Schizosaccharomyces pombe: one gene and its partners. Changing the gene in region 4 together with the main gene of any one other region gives a genetic interaction. Each region holds a gene or a part of one and is shown on either strand. Other genes may lie near its edges.

Region 1 (4,938 bases), 1.0 Mb from region 4:
AACACGAATACAGTTGTAAAATGCAATGAAGGAAATAATAATATTGCTTAGTGGAAAATACTTCAACTACAAGAAATTGTAATCCTTGATTTAATAAAGACGCATGTCGATTGTCTTATTTAAATCCTGGCATAATAATATAATCCTGAATAAAACAATAGAGCTATAAGCTTCGTTAAGACTGATTAAAGGCATACATAGGCATGACAGATATGAATATTGTTAGAAAGGTGACCGACTAGTCAGTTTATACACCTCTCCGACCAGATCGTTTAAAGAATGTCTTTACAATAAAGACTTGAAGAGCAGAAAGAGCGACAACCATTATAGATTCAGCAAGACTAAACCAAAAGATGCGGGCTTGAGTAGACTTTACAGTAGAATAATTACGATGCTCCCGAGTTTTGAAGTAATTTTGTACACGGTCAATTTCAGATAATGCGGTTGAGATCTCTAAAACAGTACTTTGCATGCTGTCCTTTTTGTAGTCTTTGGCTTCATCACGGGTTAATGCAGGAAGAGAAAGTTCATTTTCCATAGTGATTTCCATAGTCACAATTTTATCAGTAAACGTAGACATATGATTATCAAAACAGAATTCATATTCACCCTTTTCTTCGAGGGTGAAAAATACATCAGCCTGTCTTCTCTTTTTGCCAAGTGCAACGGTCTTCTGAGATGGTGCCTTGATCATATAATCGACATCAAAAGAACCGCCAGACTGAACAGCGTACGTGAAATGTGTTTTTTCGCCAGTGTGAAAAGAATCTAAGTAGTAACACTGCTTCTCTTGGTTTTCTAACTTGAATGTTAACTCAATAGCCGAAGCTAAGCTGGCGAGCAAAAATAGTGTTATGCCGCTTAGAGTAATTACGCGCATTTTCTATAAAGTAAGGTTAATCTTCAAAAATTTAATATAACTTTTAATTCCAATGTATCAAAACAAATTCACTTACGATATGTGAGTAGTTTTATGCTCAGCTGCAGAGTAGGCTGTTGCTACGTTGAGTGTTGACAGTGTGGAATATGCTGTATCGCAAAAGGCAAGTATCGATAGCGTTCTGGGAATATAAATTAGAGTATTAGTCTTAATAAATACTCTTAAAACAATTTTACAAATTTTTCTTCTTTTAATCATTTACAAAATTGTTTATGAAAATGAGTATAAACCCAGAATCATCAGCATACTAATAACAAATAGTAAACCTTCGAAAAATAAAAGCAGAAGTTTTTCTTCTTAATTATCAAAATAATTTGGTGGTTTTAAATGATCTAGTCCCAAACATAGTTTAGAAAGGAAATCGTTCAAAACTAACTTTCTTTACTATGATATCATATAATAAATATTCAAGTAATATTGGTATTATTATACTTCTTCATGATATTATACAAAGGTCAAACAGGTTTTCATGCGTGAATGTCCCATGCTCTTACTTGTTCTTAATGTATTGTTGTTATTTTTTTTTATAATTTACATTGATTTTAATGCGACTATGGTTGCAATTGACTAATGTATCTAATGCATTCGTAAATCAGAGATAAATACAAGTTTAAATAAACGATCTGTAAAATATATTCTAGTCAATAAAAAGAATTTAGAATAGTTTACAAAAAATCATTTTCTTGGAAGTTAACAGCAACATTTTGTTCGCTATTCGTTATTAAAAAATCAAAACAATCGTAATATGATTAATCAAAGGTTAGGAAGAAATCAGCTTAAAAAGCAACTATGCCTTTCGTTTTTTATTCATTTACATTGAGTTAAAGACACTGTTAGAGATACTTACATCCTTTGCATTGGTTGATACCCTTTATTTACATTGTTTTACCCAGATCATCTACCGCAAAATAATGAATCCTTATGTTTTATTTGGACGCGCTGTGGCTCACAAAACCTGTGCCATTGATTAAGTAGTAGGCTTCTCTATCTCGCCAAAACAGGTATGTCATGAAGAATGAGAGATTCCAAAGATGCCGTATGTTATTCTTTTTCGTTTCTTTTTCTTACTAACTATTTTTTAGCTGGATGATAAATCAGGGTCATTCACTAGTCTTCTTCCCCCGTTTGGAAAACAAAGGTTTGACTTTACCTCGTCTTTTAATTCACATTCCTATATTAATATTTTTACAATCTAGAGGTACTAGCCCAAATGATGCTATTCCTATTAAGAGCCCGCTAGAAAGGCTAGCGAATAGTGTAACATCCCCGGAAAAGCCAACGGTTCGAACTGCTATACAGAAGGATTCACCAAGGCGGAAGCAGATAGATGATGATCAAACACCTCCTAAGCACTTAAAACGCTCTTTTCAAAATGTTACAGTGGTTTCTCGTAAGTCGCAACTTTTTTGCTCTGATCCATGTGTAAAGCATGAGGAAATGCAAAATGTTTAGAACAATTCCTCTTCTTCAGTATCAATAATTGATTTTTTAAAATAAAAACTAACTTATTTTTGCCTCTTTTTGGCTACTTTGTTTAGCACGAAAAAAGAAAACAATTGATGTGGTCGAGCTGCCTTTCACAAAAGGGGGTTATGGAGGTTTTTACGATCCTAGGCCTGGGTGTTTAAAATTTACTACCCATGAAATAAATGTTTCTTACACAGATACTAGCATTCCAGTCATTCACATCCCTGTCCAATTGTTGAAGCGGTGTTGCTGGCTTCAAGGATGGAGAGACAATTTGGTGGAATCTCCAGTACATGCTATTCATTTAACCTTAAAAAATAGAGATATGAAAAGAATTACGATAGGTGATTCTGCCAGTTTATTATTTTTATACAACCCATTACATGTAGAATCCGCTAGAGCTGGCCTTGATCTTTTGGACCAATCTGACTTTTCTTTAACATCTCCTAGTTCGGCTAAAGAATTTAAACAATTATTGACTTTAAAACAATCCACGATCATCCCTCGCACTCCCCAGAAAACTGTAAGGTCAATTGTTAAACAGACCTCGTCTCCACATTCCTCAAAAATGCCTAAACATTCCCTTCCATCCTCGCCAACTCCATTTAATTCCAATTCTGGTGACTCTCTTCTTTCCAGGATTAAAAATTCGAACCAGTCATCGTCAGAGCGTCCAACGGCAAATAACGGAGCTCAAGAGCAAAATCAGTCATCAAGTTCTGCTGGAAACACTTCCAATGACTTTTCAACTTTATGTTCTCAAGGTTCTGATAAAACACTTCTGTCTGATGCATCTTGTACCACTATTCTCGTATATCCGTTTTCTGGAACAAATTCAATTGCCATTACTAATACCGACCTTACAAGACTCAATGAGGGAGAATTTTTAAACGATACTATTGTTGATTTTTATTTGAGGTAAGTTTTTTTTTTTTTTTTTTTTTTTTTTTTTTGGAATCTTCGCTTCTTTTAACCTCAAAAATTTAGATATTTATACTGTAAATTACAAACACAAAATCCTTCTTTGGCCAATGACACTCATATTTTTAACACATTTTTCTATAATCGTCTTACTTCAAAAGATAAAGATGGGTATGTAACAGGCTTTACTTCTATCAATTATTTGATCACTAATGGGTAATATAGCAAGCGGCTAGGTCATAGAGGAGTTCGAAAGTGGACTCAAAAAGTTGACCTTTTCCATAAAAAATACATTATTGTTCCTATCAATGAAACATTTCATTGGTATCTAGCTATTATCTGCAACATTGATCGATTAATGCCTGTGGACACAAAACTGGAAGAGCAGGATGAAATAGTTATGTCGTCTGTGGAACAACCGTCTGCTTCAAAGACTAGACAAGCAGAATTAACGAGCAATAGGTATGTTAAAGGTTTACAATTTTATTGATTAAAAGGAAAAATATATCATAAATCATTTGATTCAGTTTACTAAGTTAATTATAGTCCAGCAATTTTGATTTTTGATTCTTTAGCAAATCTTCATAAAGGAGCATTAAATTACTTACGTGAATATTTACTGGAAGAAGCTTTCGAAAGGAAAAATGTACATCTTAAGTCCACTGATATACGGGGGTTTCATGCAAAAGTCCCGCAACAAAGCAATTTTTCTGATTGTGGTATATATGCGTTACATTTCGTCGAACTATTTCTTGAAACTCCTGAGCAAGTGATAGCCAATACTTTAGATAAATCTCTTAGACGGACGGATGCTAAAAACTTCGACCAACAGTGGAACCTTCAAAAGATTAACACGATGAGATGCGATTTGAAGGGTTTAATTCGCCGTCTGTCAACTGAGTGGTCGTCTAACAATGAACGACAATCGCTTAGCAGCGGAAGCAACGATGAAGAAGATAAAGAAAATGATGATGATTTGGCAATATTGCCAATCACAAATTAGAATTTACAAGGGAATTAGGGAAATCATAATTTCATATTAAAACTTAACGAAAGCATTATTATCAAAAATTTTAGCGTAGAAAAATCAACAAAATTCATGTCTATATCGTGTGTATGCTAGCATGTATAACTTCGCTAGCGACGTTTAGTATACAGGTGCTTCCGAAATAAGGCATGATGTTCTTTACTGTCCTTTTTCAGCTGTTTATTAGCACTCTTGTTATATTCCACGTATGCCATATTGTCGGCACCAGCCAATGTACTTAAAGAACCACTAGAACGTTTAGCTTTCGCCGGTGCTCTAGAGAGACTTCTGGATCCAAAGCTAGTATCCTCACCGTCATCCAAATCAGCTGCTTCTTCATTTTGTAGCAATACTTCCTGCAAAAGCTCAAGTCTCTCCGCTTTGGAGGCGTAAGCCAAATTTGGCAAGTTCTCCATACCCTTTAAATTAGTGATGACTTTAAAAGCATAGCCTTGGTCAATTAAAAATGCTTGCCGTTTACTGGAATAATACATTTCCTGAGTGTCTTTAGATACCAAGCTATAGAAAAATGCGTTAAAGCCTTCATCATTTCGTCGCTTGGCACGAAGAATACGCCCCAAAC
Region 2 (6,181 bases), on a different chromosome or scaffold from region 4:
GATGTGCACCGACACCGGTGGTAATAGTGACTTTGTCCTTTATGTCAGAAGTTTGTTTGTCAAGTTCTTGAATGACTTCTTGAGGCTTTACCAATTCACCAGGAGCGCTACGAGTGAAAGTGAAAGGGAAGCGTTCCTTCCATGTTTGAATTTGAGATAACCAGTCAAATCGGGAAGGAATTTTAATATTTTTAGTAGCAGAATCTAAAAGCTTTAGAGATTCGTATACATCGCCCTCTATTGCTTCAGTAGGTTGTACGACCTTACCGATATTTTTGGGTGAAATATCAAAGTGAATAATACCGCCACGCTCTTCGGCAGCAGCAAGACGTGCTTGAGGAGCAAACAAACTTACGTTACCGGTGACACGGTCGTCAAAGCGAACACCAAGAGCAAGGATAAGATCGGCTTCCTGCATGGCCATATTAGCGTATCCACTACCATGCATACCGAGCATATGCAAACTAAGGTCAGAACGTTCATCTACAGCACCAAGTCCAAGCAAAGAAGTAGTAACAGGAATTTGCAGCCTTTCGCTAAACTTGCGTAACAAAGTGGGGCATTCGGGATTAGCTAAAACACCATGCCCACAGAAAATCACAGGCTTCTTGGCTAATTTTAGTAAATTGGCAACACGATCGATCTTGGCAGTAACGTTCTTGGAGCCCTCTTCTAAGACTTCCTTCATTCTGCGATTCATTGATGGTACAGAAGACAGTATAGGAATGGGCTCCTTCAAAACGCTAGCAGTGACATCTTTGGGAAGGTCAACCAATACAGGGCCAGGGCGTCCAGAAGTAGCTATCTCAAAAGCTTCGTCTATACGACGGGGAAGATCAGCAACATCTTTGACCATTACATTCCATTTAGTACATGAACGAGAAATACCAACCATGTCAGCTTCTTGAAATGCATCACTACCAATTGCGCTGGTTGCTACTTGACCAGAGAATACAACTAGGGGAGTACCGTCGGCCAATGCATCAGCAATCGGGGTAATCACATTCGTAGCACCGGGTCCAGAAGTAACCAATACAACGCCGGGTTTTTTAGTAACGCGGGAATAAGCTTGGGCTGCATGTCCAGCAGCTTGCTCGTGTCTTGGCAAGATAAATTCAAAATGAGGAGATCTATAAATTGCATCGAAGACAGGCAAGATAGCACCACCTGGATAACCAAATACATGCTTAACATTATGCTTGAGCATCATATCATGGAAAATTTCACCCCCAGTCTTTCCAACAAACGAGCTGTCATATTTTATAGGACTAGCCGTAGTCACTGTAGAGGTGCTTTTGGTCGAATTTGCCCGAACGACACCGAATGCATTTTTTAATTTTTTAATTCTCAAATTATTACTAAAGCCGGTGCCATACCTCCGCACAGCTGAGCAACTATTTAAATTTAAAAATCTCTTTTGAAGGGCAATTTCTCGTCCATAAGACGAGAAAGCCGCCCTCGTATGCAATCTTCTAAGGGGAGCCAGCACAGTCATTATAAATAACTTTTAACCCTCAATTCCTTTCTAGAAAGAGCTATCTTTCAAGTTGCAAAAGATCGGTATGCTGAGCGGTATGAGAAGTGAGCAGGTTCATTTTTGCCTAAAAACATTGGTTGTTCACCACCACAAAAAAGATCAGATTTGTTAACGATAAGTACTGTACCCCGGAGATTAAATATACCGATGCATAATACTATACCCTTTGAAGTCGTGTTATTATTCTTTAAAAAGTTCAGATGATGTAGGAATACAATTTATCTATTTATCCATGTCTCCTTAATTTTTTAAACATTAGTAAATGCTGGAAAACGTCAAATAAATTTTTCTTGATCCTAAATTATAAGTTTCCTATCGATTCAGCTTAGAAAATCGTCAGAATTATCTTTGAGCATAATCTGTTTAACACGTAAGAGATCTTAGATACTTTCGCTTTTTTAAACATTAGTGAGCCTCTTATTAGAGGAATTGCAATGTTTATTGTACATCGACGGTTTTTTCAAAATGAAAAAGCTTTTACGCCTGCAGGAAAACATGAAAAAGTTGCCGACGGAAACAAACATGAGACATTAGCTACTTCAGAATACCCGAAAGTCTGTGCATCAAATGACTTGTACAAAATACTCCAAATATCTGCTCCTAAGGTTGGCAATTTTACAATCCATGATGCGCCAGTTGTTGGACTAATTGACTCTATTTTGGAATATTATTTGTATATTAGTGTCAAAGTTCGAAAGGCATGGATTGCTGGTTATGGAAGTCAGCCCCAAAACTTAATATGCTTTGATTGGGAACGTTTTACGGGTATTCTAGATCAGCAGAGTCTAAATAGCCCACCGTTAGCTGGATTTGTTAAGCCAGATCCAACATCAGCAGAGCCTGGCTTTTTACTTTTGTGGCCTGCTTCGGGCGACCTTTTCTACTGGGAAAGAACTTCTTTGATGAACGTTGAGGTTTCTGCTCCCGAATTTCCTGGTTTTCTTCATTACAGGATTCAACTAAAACGATATGAAAGCTGTAAAAATTTGGTTAGTGCTGAGCCTGCTGGCTTTTTCCTTACTCTGAGTTCAGGTCGGTTGCTTCATCTGAATTTAAAAGATAGCGATGGCAATTCCTCTATTCAGGTTCGAATCCTATTTCCTGGATTGCACATCCCCAACTGCTTGCTGTCGTTATACAACAGTATCTTTGCATTTACTTCAGGAAGAGTTATTCCAATACGTTGTGGTTCAATAAAAGGACCTGGTGAGAGATTAGTTTATTCTATGCATTCTGGAAGCACATTGCGAATTTGGGAAATATTCGGGACTGGTGATCACCACTTGTTACGTGGTTTTGACATTTATGATATAATTTTAGATAGTATTCAGGAATCCTTTTCCTACGTAAATCGATTTCTAATCCTTGATTTTTCTGTTTCAACCTCGGATCCTTATACGTTAGCTTGTTTGGTTTCCTGGCGTGATAATGCTTCATTATTCAATTATGCTGCAATCATTATTTCTTTCAACCATCAGATGATACCTCATGTTTCACAATTCTGCCATGTACGCTCATATCTTTCTGCAATTCTTCCATCAGTGTGTCGAATATTTTTACCAAGTCCAGGTACAGTTGTTTTTTGCGTCTTCGATGTCACTTTTGCTATGTTTCATAAAGTGCGAGGGAAAGAAGGCACTTTTTATGTCGAAGAAAACCTGGTTGTGAACAACCTAACTTCCAAATCTCGGGTTTTGGATTTTGGCATGGAAGATGCGATATATGAAAAATCTACGCACACCTTACTAAAAACTCCAGCATTGATCTTGTTAACAGAAGGGCATGGTATAATCCGAATTGAATCTTCTGCTAGCTACCTGAAAACCAGCTTTAGTGCAACCACCTATTTACGAAGTCGTCTCTCCCAGTTTGCATCGCAAAGCCCTTTGTTCCGTGTAAGTTGTTAATTCTTTCGTATCTAACATATAGGAACAATTTTTGTTAAATTTTGACTTTACATACAACCTCTCTGAAAGCGAAGTCTATAATACAGTCTTTAATCTTTGTGATGAACTTTATACGAGTAAGATAATTTTTTCATGATATATTACTAATTGCAATCAGCGCCATGTAAAAAAAATATGTCTGTATTAGAAACACTACATTCTCAGCAACGTGACTTGATGGAAATAGTTCTTGTTGCCTTCAAATACCTACATTTATCTCCTTCTAATAGACTTCAATTATGGCTAAAAGTTGCCTATTGCAGTGCTTTGGCAGACCTATATGAATTATTGATGTGTAATGAAAAAATGTCTAACTTGCTTCGACGAGTATTGAAAATAATGTCTTCAAATGATAATATTGATGAACTTTTTTTGAAAAAGTGCCTGAATATAAATTTGTTATTACAGCATTTAAGCTCGGAATATTCTCAAATATCTGGCCAAGATGCTAGCAACGCACAAAAAAGAATTGAAGTAATAGTAAATGTTAATAACGTTTATGGGGTATGTTTCTTATAAAATAACGAGGTTTACTAATATTAGACTATCTTTGGAAATGAGCTTGCTTATAGGCAAGAAAAAATATCAAAATTTACTGATCCATCCTCTGTGATTAGAAGCGACCTTTGGACAGTTGAAGTTGATCACTTAGATTTACTACGAAAACAGATCGAAGATTCGATATCATTGCATCGCGATGTACGTGACTCGAAAGATGCACACATATTAAAAGTCAGTAACAAGCTTCGGAAGCAGATTTTGCATCTGGTGGAACAAAATTGCCTTTTGATCTTTGATTTGCACAATGGAACAGATGATACCATAGTAAAATCGCATAATTTTCAAAAATTTGAAGAAGAATTTGGCAATTCACGAAAAGAATGGTTACAATATTTAGGTAAGCTGTTTCTCACTTTCTTGTTTCCGCTAACAAAGAAGCTTCTGTCGGATATTTGGAAAAGGCAATCGACTTGGCGGAAAAAGTTAAAGACTTTCAGACAATGGTAATTTTGCTGGATTGTCTAGATCCAAAGGATCCTACCATTAAGCTTCAAAAGCAAAAAGCATGCTTAAATAAATACAAAGAAGAATTCGCAGATGTAATTTTTTTTTATTTGGTTGATACAGAGCAGTATGCGTCTTTGCTTCATGATTTCTTGGAGTATCAATCACTTTTAATATCTTTTTTTGAAGCCAATGATTTATTGAATCTTTTGTGGATATTTGAAGCTCAAAATGGAAATTATGGACGAGCCTCCGAAATTCTTTTCCGTGATTGTGAACCAGAAGAAAACAGGATTATCGGTAAAATTTCGCAGTTAGCTCTAGCAAAGCTCTACTCATGGACTAATAGAATTGAAGGTGAAAATATCATATTGTCAAATGAGACTGAGGTGATTGAAAATCATTTAGCCATTTTGCTTATTCAAGAGCAATATGCTGAAATGCTTTCATCACTTGTGGATATTACAGAAGACGAGGGAGAAGCTGTCGAAGCAATAGTAACTTCCAATTGTGTAAATCTATCAGAAAACTCTATCAGAGCCTGGCTCGTGTCTAGTGCTGTTGAGCGATTAATTCAAAACGAATACACTACGCTTTGTGAGATGGTAGATTTCTTTTCTTCTTTTTCATTACGGGAATGTTCATTCAAAGAAGTTGATTTGGCCTTAGAGTTATTAGAAAGAGCTACAATCACTAAGGACGTGTATTTTTACTTAAAAGATCTCGTATATCGCCGTTTTCTATTACAGGTGAACTGGGCAGAAATCATCGATGCGCATGAAGATTTAGAATCTTCATTTTTTCCAATGGTAAAGGAAATTATGTTAGAATCAGACTTTTTAATATGGTTACAACATATGGAACACAATATTCACGACGAAAGTAAACATTACTTGAAATCGGAAAAAAATTTTTTGCAAAGTGTATATTCTTCACTTTCTGAGTCGCAAGTGGAAGATTATCAAATGGAGCTTTTTCGTGAAAAGCAAATTTTCTCAGTACTATGTAAAGATAGAGAGTTATACATTCTGATTCCGAAACTTCTGGACGTAGCAACAAAACAATGAAATGAAATTTTGCTATATATTACTTTACATTTCCTCAGTAATCGATAAACACCTGTTTAAACCTAGTACTACTTATGTTTGTATAATCTATCGTATAGCCTCAGCTCCGACAACTCCGTTTTTACGATGGTAGATGCTAGATAATCACTGGTTAGAATATTTACGGCTTAAAATAATTAAATTTTTTTATTATAGATTCTTGATTTATTATGATGATTGCGCCTTCGGGGCTTTTTCCCTGTCCTGGATAGCCTCACCCTTACGTTGGAAATTAAGCTAAGGCCTAGTGTGTTGCATCCAAGTACACCTTACAACTAACGTCCACTAAAACACTCAAACCACATAATCATTTGTTAGTCGAAAGAAAGCCTGTAACTTCTATTAAATTATAGTAATTGGTTTTCTAAATTTTGTTGTTTTTGGTCGGCTACTGAATCGCAATTGGACTTCAATCTCTGTGGTGAATGCAGTGAAAACAAACTGAGATTTGTGTGGCATTTGTTAGTGAGGCTACAAATTGACTACATAAAAACTGCATAGTCCTTGCAATAAAAAAAATTTTATCTGTTCGGTCAATTCCTTGTGACAGGGTTATTTATCATGAATTCCCAAACGAGCGTAGTAGG
Region 3 (4,519 bases), on a different chromosome or scaffold from region 4:
GTTATGAGTATGAACAGAAGGATTATCCTGATCAGACGCATAAGAATCTACTATCCAATCGCTAGTAAGGGAGGGTGGAGGTGATTTGATAGACAAATCGCTGATAGAATAATTATTATCATTAGGAGGTATGTTATTTTCAGGATGCTCGGAATGAAGTGGAAACAAAACCTGCCTTGCCAGACACTTATTATCTGATAAGTGATTACTTATACCCAAGGATGGTATTACCACTGATTCAATTTTCCATAATTCTAACGTTATTTGAACCAAAGCCAAAGGTTGGTGAATTTCTTTACTTCGAACTTGGACGATACCAACCAACCTTGGAGCTGAAGTTGGTATCCCATTAAATCCAGCTTGGAAATCCAAATGTGGTAACGGACGTATCTCCAAAGGAGAAAATTGCCGTATTAGCGTACACGGGGATGTCATGCTCTTACATTTAGTGAGTTCCTCTGGCTTGGTGCTGGTTATGGGAAGTTGAATCTACCAAATGGTAGACAGGTTGGTTCAGTGCAGCAATGTCAGATCTAGATAGCTAAATAAAATCTTTTAAGCACTCGCTTAAACACTGCTAAGTGACTTTTTATAGCAATGAAATTAATAATATTTTATTATATAAAAATCTAATTTTAGGCCAAAAAATGTACTTTTGTTTCCATTCCATAGAATTAAAATCAAAAGCCTACAATTGATAGCCAAGCATCTAAAGCTAGTATCTGTTGTAAAAAAGTTCCATTTTGATTACAATAGTAAAAACTAAAATGACTTTAATAGCCTAATTTTGAAATTGGTATTTTCAACTTAAAATTCACTTACGAAAGCCTAAAATATGTTTATTCTTACAGCAGAAGGCTTTTTTTTTGAATTTTTGAATTTTTGAAACCATAACACACGATTGATCGCAACATACATATACGAAATATAGAAGAGAGACTGAATTCAAACGAAAACAATATAGCAAGATATCAGATTATTGAGCAGCAGAAGAAAGGGAAATAAAGCAAGTAAATACTATTTTACTAAAAATCAAACGAATCTCTAAAAGAACAGATATTTCACGCATAGTTAACAGACAATGCATAACAAAAAATTCAAAATCGAGAAAAACAAGAATCAAGAGCAACTGGTAATGCTAATTTTTGATAGTTATATGAGCCGTAGTATGATAAAAAACCCCGGCGATAATTGAGGAAATTCATTGCTGATGTACGACTCTTTTCTATCTAGGAAATAATGATTGTTTGAAGGATAACCTGAATATAGGGCTTTCTGTTCATTCAAAGATCCCTTCAGGAAGTGTTAAATGGTTTGTATAAAACTAACTCACATTTTCCGATTTATCTTTTCATTTTCAGGGCATATATCAGAACTTAAAACAATTTACTAGTAGCGATACGCTACCACTTACTTATTAAACGCTTAAAAGAGTAACACAGTGTACTGTCATGAATGTATATTTTATAAAAGCAATATGATATTTAATTTACATTAATATACTTGTAAGCTTCTCACGGCTAAAAGTAGTGATAGCCCACATTGAAGTAGGATTTTAGTGTAATGAAATCAAACACAGTAGGCCCTAAAGATAAACGGACACTTACATGTTAAGCAACATAATTTAAAATCTTACAAGCAAAGCTAGCGGCTCGAAAGCCAAACATTGTAATATAAACACAAAAAGTAGTTTGTTTACAGTAAATACCGCAATACTCGTATAACGAGGTATTTTCACAACGTAAGCAAGAACGCGCTCATCCTTCCAGGTTGTTGTGTGTCACAGCCTCTCGCGATTCACCCTTTACAATTCACTCGTGAATGATAGGAAAACGCAATGCGTCAAAAAGGACGCGTCAGGATGATTGTATTACATATGAAGAGTATCAAAGGAAACGTAAAAAGACATTTTTGAACACGTTTGTTAATATTTGTTCTCGTACAGTTACTTATGCAAAACTTTTTTTGACAAAAACTCCCATTTCTGAATTGGATCGCATCGCTGGCGAGGCGATACCATCTAATAGTAATAGTACAAATTCAAAACTAGAGCCTTCTACTAAAGCCCCTGAATCTCGGTTTTCTCACATAAATTCCAAGACTGAACGTGGTTACGTGACGGTCGAATCTGATATGTCTTCTCACAATACTCTTGACAGAAATAGTAAACCTACCGTTTCTCATTCATATACAAATTCTAGTAAGGATGAAAAATTTTTGGATCCCATTGCTCTTCAAAATCTATTTTCCCCTGCCTCTGACACGCATTCTCAAAACATCCATGACGAAGCATTATCTCCATCAAGCTTTCGTGTGTCTCGTTCGAGATACTTCCCCCGACCTCATCGGTCTTCCAAAAATTTATCTGTTAGTAATCGGTTACAGCTTGCGGTTTTTAAGGAAACAACTTCATCGACATTATCCCACGGTAATTCCGTTGAGGCTGACGAAATAAACTCTTTTAATCCTACACCTTTCTCTTCTTCTCCTCTGCACTTTACGAACTCCTCTCCAAATCCAAACTCTGACATTGTTACACCGGACAAGCAGCTAGATGTTGTTAGCGAACACGCCAGATATAAACACCTTCCTTTTACGGCTACGTTAAGAAAGAAAAGTCCTCATGATTCAACGTCTCGGAAAGCCTCTTTTAGGTTCGTTCAATCTGATCAGCAACCAGCGCGGAATATCGTTACTTCTGATATCCAAAATGAAAAATCATTACTGTTGCTAATTCGAGATTTGAAAGAAAAGCAAACAGAATCTTTTCAAGATTGGAACGAAGTTGACTTTTTACAATTAAAAGGTTTGGAAATATCTCCACCCCCCACTCGCCCCAAGTTCATTCCGGAACTTGAGTTTCCTGATAATGCTCGAAAGCGTGCACTGAAATATTTAAACCAAAGCAATTCTGTTTCCTCTTCTGAACCCATCATCACCAAATTTAATATTCCAATCACGCTTAAAGACTTGCATACTCTGCGGAATAGACAATGGTTAAATGACGAGGTAATTAATTTTTACATGAATTTGATTTCGGAACGCTCTAAAATTGATTCATCCTTACCTCGGGTACATGGGTTTAATACTTTTTTTTATACATCTTTGCAGCGCCGTGGATACGCGGGTGTTCGAAGATGGGCCAAAAAGGCACGCGTTAATATTGCAGATATGGATGCTGTATTTATACCAGTACATCTGGATGTCCACTGGTGTATGGCTGTTATTAACAAATCGAAGAAACGATTTGAATACTGGGACTCGCTGGCCGGAAGCCCTGGTAAAGTTTTTGATTTGTTGCGCGACTATTATATTGCAGAAACAAAAGGTGCCGTCGACGTGTCAGATTGGGAAAATTTTATGGATGACAATTCTCCAAGACAACGAAATGGACATGATTGTGGAGTTTTTGCTTGTAAAACTGCTGAATGTGTATCTAGAAATGTTCCTGTTCAGTTTAGTCAAAATGATATGCCTGAACTACGAATCAAAATGGCAGCTAGTATTATTGATGCACAAATCTATTAAATATGTGCTATAAACTTTTTGTCTATATACTTATCGTTTTTTATATTAATTTCTTTCTCGTTCAATACATTTTATTTCATATTCAGCGTTTTCAAAAAGGACATAATTTACTTAAATCTATATTAGAGCGTATGCATTTTTTAAGTAGCAGGGAATACTCTAATTAATAAATCTGAATCCAGGAATCTCAGCAAATATAGCTTTTGAAAAAAAAAATACCCGCATATCTTATAAACAAACTTAAGCGCTGAGCTGACGAGCGTCGAGCCCCATTGCATTTAAAAACAAATTAACATTGCTGATGCGCACAACAGCAATTTCAGAAGGTGCCCGTTTGCTAGTAATGATGTTATCAAGTACTCTGTCCCTATTTTTTACATATTTGTTAGTACAAAAACTCGACTAGACATATTTTAACGTACCTAGTTTCAGAAACCAATGTAAAATGTTGTTCAGAGCTAGCAGCAGTAGCACAAGCTGCTAAGAATTCCCATGGATAAGATTCATCAGCATAAGCTCGAGCGTTAGGTGGTGGGAATACCGTCGAGAAATGACCTTTTACGCGATTAAACATAACATTGAATGTATTTTCCCTAAATAGTTAGATGCTGTAAATACATGTATAACGTACCATTCTTCTTTTTCATTTTGATTTACAGTGCCAGATTGCTTTAAAATTTCTGCGCGACTAATGAATAGAGTAAGGAACGACAAACCAATCTTCGTCTGTATTAAATAAACAGCATTAGTGCGATTGAGAAGTTGAGAAAATAAGTTATTTATAGTTTCCAAATCAAGTTCATTAACAATAGTGAGCAATGGAGGGATGATGAACTGCGTGAAAGAACTCATTTCGGAAACAACGTCCAAAGGCAGCTCACCGTTAACGTCAAATGTTCCCCTAAGGACTATATCAAGAGAATCAAAATTGTAAACTACGACCTTTAAAATCGAAATTTGTTGCTCTTTGGACAAATGTGGGAACAAGCGA
Region 4 (6,328 bases):
TTCTCACGTAAGGAAATTCACTTAGTTGATTCGTTTATAAGCGATGAGTGCAACATTTTCTAAAGTCGTTTCTTCACCAACGTAGTATACGAGAGAAGATTCATAACCCATTTTTTCGCATTCTAATTTTCTCATGTAATTGATAATATGCTTGCACTTCAACCCAATTTTTACGCGTTCCTCATGAGAAAGACCACTGATGTGTGAGTCGGCTCCTCCAGAAGCATGCATATGCTCACGCAAACTGTTTACAGCCCACCCAGTCATCTGTCGTAATATTTGAAACTCTTGTGGATTTGAAATTCCCCAATGACTTAATTGTTCTCTAGCAAAGGTTGAAAGTGTTCTCCATCGGCAATGATGATGACAACAAAGGGCAATTACAAGAGCATTAGGAGGGGAGGACTTTAAGCAATTCAAGGTAAGGTCTGTGGCAGCACCACATAAATGCTTAGAATATGCAAATACAGGTTTACCACTATTCCGAAATTCACTAGCAAAAAAATCGAGTTTCAAATCCTTAATATCAATTTTACACCTTATAATTTTTGGCTCAGGCCAGTTATTTTTGATGCTATCTTTTAATATCCTGCTATCATGCTTCGTTCGATTTGAATCACGATCAATAAGTATATATACGTTTTCTTGTTGGGAGCAGTGCTGAACATATCTTGATAACTCGGCTCTTCCAGCACCGAATTCGTAATATATAGATCCTTGGTTGTCAAAATAATGTAGTTTTTCCATATGTCCTAACAATGATGCCTAAAATGGTTAATGCTTTTGACTGCCGTTAAGAAATCATGTCGAACATACCTGCTGAATTGCATGCTTTTTTTTTGTACCCTCTTCACTGTTAAAAATGAAGTTAGTTTCTACTTTTGCAACCATCTTCTTAATAAAAAGCTAATGAGAAAGCACTTCGTACATACAGTCTTGCATTCATTGCCGGGTGAAACAACACCTTTTTTTGAGGAGTCGGTAAAGAATCACTAATTCTGTTGAACAAACAAATCCATTTTGACAACTCTTCCTTGCTTAAATCGACGATTTCAAAGGAGGAAGATTCTGAAGCATCTGTTGAAGTAGAGATATTTATGTCCTTCTTGTAATATGGATCGGTCCTTTCAACAGGACGCGCGTTACAACGCTTCAAATGATATTCTAAACGATGTCGCACAATTGTATGCTTGTGATCATATGGACAGGGGATTTGTTTTAATTCTTCCTGAGTAAAAATTTTTTTTATTCGTGCCATCAAGTTAGATAACTTTTTAACTCTTAAGTGATATTAGCCTGAATATTGATCACAAAAGTAAATCTTAAAATACAATAATTTTATTTTTCTTGTAAAATTTGGTCTTTTTCAGTCCTTCGGATAATTTACAACACTAATGAAAAATAGCTTTCCGATTCGGCAGTTCAGACACTTCAAAATAAAGTATTTTCGCGTTTTTCTCTTTATTACAGTTGTTTCCAACCCAGTCCCAAACTTTCTACTACTTTTATAGTTTTCTGTACCAGATGTGCGATTTTACGAAGAAATCTGATGTTTCCAACCATTGGCGTGCTCATAAAAAAAATTCAAATACGGAATCATGAAACATTTATATAAATTGATCATGCGTTCTAAAAAAGTAGTTTAAGCTTGACCTTGAAGAACGCAACTACTTTTTAAAAACCTCTGTTTTATACAACATTCCGGGAAAAGACAATATCCTAAGTATCACTTCCTTAAATATACCAAAGCAAAGAAATAATTAATTACAAAAGAGCAAACTGTGTTGACATTTGTGAAAAAAGTGTATATGACATATACACCGATTTTGAAATATTGATATATTGATTTTACTCTGAATTTCTTATCAGTAGCTTAACTATTTAATTCTGAGTAAAAAATAGGAGTCTAAGTAAAGTTCTTTTGATTTCAAACCCTTCTTTGTAGGAATCGTCGACATTCGTCCTTCTCAGAGCCATATTCTATCCCTAAGGGTATTAAGGAGTCAAATAGACGATAACCGCCAGTATCAGTACTGATATCGTCAAATAGTCATGAGTTCTATCCTTGGTAAAAGGAAAAATGAAGAAGTCGTATCTTTTAGCCCTTTGAAACGAATTTCTGTTGAGAAATCGCTTTTGGATAGCACTGCCTATAATAATTCATTGGATTGGCTCAGATCTAAAAATTTCAAGGTCTCGTGTCTACTTAAACATTTTAATTCTAAAATTATCAACGGTACGAAGCTTTTATTTCTTCACTGTGCGCATTACTAGGTAACTAACATCTCTATTCAATTTAGACCATCCTTTAAGTGGATCATGCTACACAGACATCGGTTATGCATTAATTAATTCCCGAAAAGCTTGCTTTATTTTGTCGTATCGTCAAAGCTTGGGAACAGCAGAACCTCCAACTATAACATTTCCGCTACCTGAAGAGGACTCAAATGGCTTTTCCGGGCAAAATGCCTTGACAGCCTTCGTCCCTTCTGATGCTTCTGACAAAGAACCTGGATTGCTGATTGTAATGCCTATCTCTGGTCGTATAGCATATTGGACTTCAATTGGGAATGCTCTCGCTCAATCTTATATATGTCCCCAGGGAATGGAAAGTTTGATAAAGTTACTCCCCAAAGAAAAATGTGAGCATTTATGTTGCTCAAACCCCATGAAGTTCATCATATCTACCAATTTTGGTCGTCTTTTTTCTGTTCAACTGCGCGATCCTGCAGGTCAACCTGACGTTTCTGTACAATTATTTGCTTCCGATATTAGTACTTTTTCTACTATTCTTCAGAAAATGAAGATTTTTAACTACCCTAGCATTCATATCATTGCTTTAAAATCCCCACCACTGTTCTCTCCATACCAACATCTTTTGTATGTCGCTGAGGCATCTGGTTTACTAGAGATATATGATTTGAAGTTGGAAAATAAGCTTGTTTCTGGTATGAATCTGTCTCCTATTTTTAAGCAGGTTTTGAGAGAAGGATGCCCCGATGCAAGCGGACTTGAGGTGTTAGACCTTACTATATGCCCCACAAACGGAAATCTAGTGAGTTTTTTAGTATGTTGGAAAAATTCTATTAATTACCGTTACATGATTATTTCTCTTGATTTTTCTGACATTTCCTCACCCTCGGTAATGAATATTCATCCATTGTATTCATTTTCTTCTAAATCTCTTGAGTCTTCAAAGCTACATTATTCATCATCAGGGAATTCTTTATTTGTGGTTTTAACAGACGCTGTTATTATAGTGCACGTCCAAGAGGATGATAAAGATATTGTATCGAGAACATCATGGGAAGAGGTTATTCGTATGAATACTAATGTCTCTGGCGGCATATTTATGTCTACTTGCTACAAATACGTTTTAGGAAAATACTCTATTCCTACGGAATCATGTTTTATAGCAACCCCTTATTCTGGTATCGCTGAAATAGAAGTTCATAGTTTGGAGCATCCTGCAAATAACGAATCTCTCGTAAAAAGCAAGTTGGAAGAAGCTGTTTTTTACTCCTTCCTTCCTGGTAATCCGATCGATTTTTCCTGCAATTACCTTCGCTCCATCAAAAAGCCTGAACTCGAAAGGATTATTGTCGATCTTGGAATGGACATCTTGAATTCAAGGTCTACTCATTTACCCCCATTATTTGCTTCTTTAATGCAGCATCTGTCCTGTAGGTTAAATTCTTTGAATAATCTTGTCCGGTATATTAGGTCTATGTCACTGGATGTTGATCGTCAAGTACTATACAAGTTGAGAGTAATGGGCGAAAAATGCAATTCTGTTAGATATTTATGGAATACTATCGATACTGAATTTAGTACTGTTAGTCATTCCCTAATTTTTCAACGCATAATTTATAGACTCACTCAAAGTGCTTCGTCGGATAACGCTTTGAGAGAGTGGTTTTTGCATAATATTGAAAGCATTGATCAACTGATAGCGCAAGCACATGAATTTTGCATAGATTCAGGTTCTCGAGTTCAAGAACTTCCATTGGAAGTTCTTGATGTAATTATGGAAGCTAATGAAGTAATTCTGGCAATTCAATCTTCGGCTTTGGCTTATCGCCGTGAGTCCCAGAAGATTTATAAGCTAAGTATTGATACCTTTGGAGAAGAGGTTCCTTGGACGTCAACGCCAGAAACTTTAGTTTTGCTGTGTCGACAGTTTGAACTTACTCGGTCAGCGCTTGTCCAGTCACATCAAGGAACCTCGGATGTGGAGAATACTTTTAAAATAAAGGATAAAGGGGTGCTAAGAAATGTCGTTTCAAATTTAGAAGTACAATTAGTGGCCTTGACAGAGGTTTGCTTTGACGCGTACTCAGAAAGGATTAGATGGATAGAACAACGTTGTGGTAAGGATGCTAGTGAAATTCAAGATGTCAAGGAAGCTTTTGCAGTTAATCGCAGATTTTGGGTTCAAACTTTATCAGATATAGGTAAAGGCAGCAGTGCCATTCGAATCGCTGAAAAATACTCAGACTATCGTTCTTTAGTAGAATTGTGCTATCAACTTTATGAGGACAATGAGCTCACGGATGCACTAAACAATTACCTTGATCTTTTTGGTATAAAATTCGCATTTATATTATATGACTATTTTGTTGAAAATGGCATGGCATTAGAGTTGCTTAATAGCGACAGGTTCAACAAATCTTATTTGAAACAATTTTTTAAATCTCGAGATTACAACCAGATTTCATGGATGCATGATATGAGGTTAGGAGACTACGATGCTGCGTCGCATAGATTGCTACAGTTGGCTACTAAACAAGAAAAGCTGGTTGATAAAAAGGAATCTGAGCTTTCATTAAGTAAATTATTTCTTTATGCAGTTCCATCCAACTCTGGAAATATCAGAGATTTGGTTTTAGTGGAACAAAAGCTTGAGCAACTACATATTCAAAAAATGGTTTCCAAAAGTGTTATGCCAGTCGTTGAACGGCTTCGTTCTCAGGGGAAAAAATACCAGCTTGTAGAAGCTGTTGTGGATGATTTGATTGGTGCCAAGGTAGCGCCTGTTATCGCTCGTCAGGTTATGCAGCGCGTAGTCAAAAAGTTCATTGCCGGACAGGTGGTTGAAGCAACTGAACTGTTGGAGTACCTCAGCTTTTCTTTATACCGTCGAGAGGACCTTGTAGAAGGTGAAGTTACCGACTATTATCTTGCTTTGCGTCTTCTTTTAACCACCAGATTAACGGACGATGCCAAGAGATTTTATGAAAATACCATTTGGAGACGAGCTGTTTTACATGACAACTGGATCCAAGTTTTGGATACCCAGGGTAAAAACGATGCAATTATAGAAACCCAATTCCGAATGTCAGCACTATATCGGACTCTAGAGGCTGTGACCATAAACGGACTTTTTCATGAAGGACTTATCCGACCTGGTTCGCTTTCTTCTTGTAAGTTTGAAGGATATGATCCTCAAAATCTCATTTCTATTTACCCACCCGCTCGCTTTGGAGATGTGACTGAAGTTACCAAAGTACTTAATCGTGAAAGCGTAAAGTTGGATCATTATCTTACAAAAACTAATTTAAATACTTGCTATATTAGTATGTGTTTAAGTTGCGATACGATTTAACCTTTATCTTAATCATACAAACCCATTAGATAATAAAAGAATTTTGGTTAGATAGGTTTCATCCGAGTCCCTTGATCATTGTCAATTTTGTTAGCTAATGAATCTAAAATAAAATTTTGTTTACCACTAACTCAAACTAGAAAGTATACCATTATATCTATTTTCAGCTTTCCAACCTTATACTACGCTAGCTTGGTATATCGGTGGAAAACCCAGTACTGCTTACTTGTCCACTACCAAGTACAGTGTTGGCTGCCTCGGATTCCTCTGAGGTTGTCAACTGTAAACGAAATAATTGAACTGTCACTTTCTTTGTGTTTTTCATGGAATCTTTGTGGATTTTAGCGGCATCTACTTCATTTTTCTACCCGTAACCATCTTTAACTTTCGAGTGCGAAAGACATCAACATTTAACAAACCGGAACGCTCTTTTAATCAAAAACATTTTAAAGAAAACTGCATTTAACATAGTGGAATATTTAAAAGACCATCATGTCAACTACTTCGTCTCACTCCAACGTCGTTGGTGTTCATTACCGCGTTGGTAAAAAGATTGGAGAAGGATCTTTTGGCATGTTATTTCAAGGTGTAAATTTAATCAATAATCAGCCAATTGCCCTAAAATTTGTATGTAATTATTTTTAGAGAGCAATCCAGATTCTCAATTTCAGTACTAACGTTGCATTCTCACAGGAGTCCAGAAAAAGCGAGGTTCCTCAACTT

Evidence for each region.
Region 1: of nup132 (region 4) and ulp2, a mutation in one rescues a mutant of the other (synthetic rescue), as found in Schizosaccharomyces pombe (one study listed by BioGRID).
Region 2: mutations in nup132 (region 4) and nup131 impair growth when combined (synthetic growth defect), as found in Schizosaccharomyces pombe (one study listed by BioGRID).
Region 3: of nup132 (region 4) and ulp1, a mutation in one rescues a mutant of the other (synthetic rescue), as found in Schizosaccharomyces pombe (one study listed by BioGRID).

Annotation. Positions count from the first base shown.
Region 1 is NC_003424.3:1,763,729-1,768,666, reverse strand, and holds ulp2 (SUMO deconjugating cysteine peptidase Ulp2), read left to right. Parts: upstream 1-1,933; 5' UTR 1,934-1,955; coding exon 1,956-1,976; exon of another isoform or gene 1,977-2,022; coding exon 2,023-2,078; exon of another isoform or gene 2,079-2,136; coding exon 2,137-2,330; exon of another isoform or gene 2,331-2,411; intron 2,412-2,478; coding exon 2,479-3,325; intron 3,326-3,394; coding exon 3,395-3,499; intron 3,500-3,500; exon of another isoform or gene 3,501-3,553; coding exon 3,554-3,790; intron 3,791-3,874; coding exon 3,875-4,331; 3' UTR 4,332-4,434; downstream 4,435-4,938. Other genes in the region: erp2 (COPII-coated vesicle-associated protein Erp2/3/4), read right to left, coding at 248-880; transcription factor TFIIH complex ERCC-3 subunit Ptr8, read right to left, coding at 4,466-4,938.
Region 2 is NC_003423.3:972,423-978,603, reverse strand, and holds nup131 (nucleoporin, WD repeat Nup131), read left to right. Parts: upstream 1-1,757; 5' UTR 1,758-1,971; coding exon 1,972-3,432; intron 3,433-3,466; coding exon 3,467-3,560; intron 3,561-3,601; coding exon 3,602-3,987; exon of another isoform or gene 3,988-4,026; coding exon 4,027-4,381; exon of another isoform or gene 4,382-4,422; coding exon 4,423-5,555; 3' UTR 5,556-5,582; downstream 5,583-6,181. Other genes in the region: ilv1 (acetolactate synthase catalytic subunit), read right to left, coding at 1-1,495; serine/threonine protein kinase (CK1 family) Cki2, read left to right, coding at 6,156-6,181. UniProt on the Schizosaccharomyces pombe protein: Functions as a component of the nuclear pore complex (NPC).
Region 3 is NC_003423.3:2,365,296-2,369,814, forward strand, and holds ulp1 (SUMO deconjugating enzyme Ulp1), read left to right. Parts: upstream 1-1,799; 5' UTR 1,800-1,821; coding exon 1,822-3,528; 3' UTR 3,529-3,768; coding exon of another isoform or gene 3,769-3,895; 3' UTR 3,896-3,898; downstream 3,899-4,519. Other genes in the region: arrestin-related substrate adaptor for RhoGEF, Art1, read right to left, coding at 1-435; pdc2 (topoisomerase II-associated deadenylation-dependent mRNA-decapping factor), read right to left, coding at 3,769-3,895, 3,951-4,121, 4,160-4,519.
Region 4 is NC_003424.3:2,775,319-2,781,646, forward strand, and holds nup132 (nucleoporin, WD repeat Nup132), read left to right. Parts: upstream 1-1,969; 5' UTR 1,970-2,052; coding exon 2,053-2,236; exon of another isoform or gene 2,237-2,292; intron 2,293-2,300; coding exon 2,301-5,605; 3' UTR 5,606-5,735; downstream 5,736-6,328. Other genes in the region: tRNA 2'-O-methyltransferase Trm13, read right to left, coding at 22-765, 817-853, 933-1,258; serine/threonine protein kinase (CK1 family) Cki3, read left to right, coding at 6,098-6,232, 6,299-6,328. UniProt on the Schizosaccharomyces pombe protein: Functions as a component of the nuclear pore complex (NPC).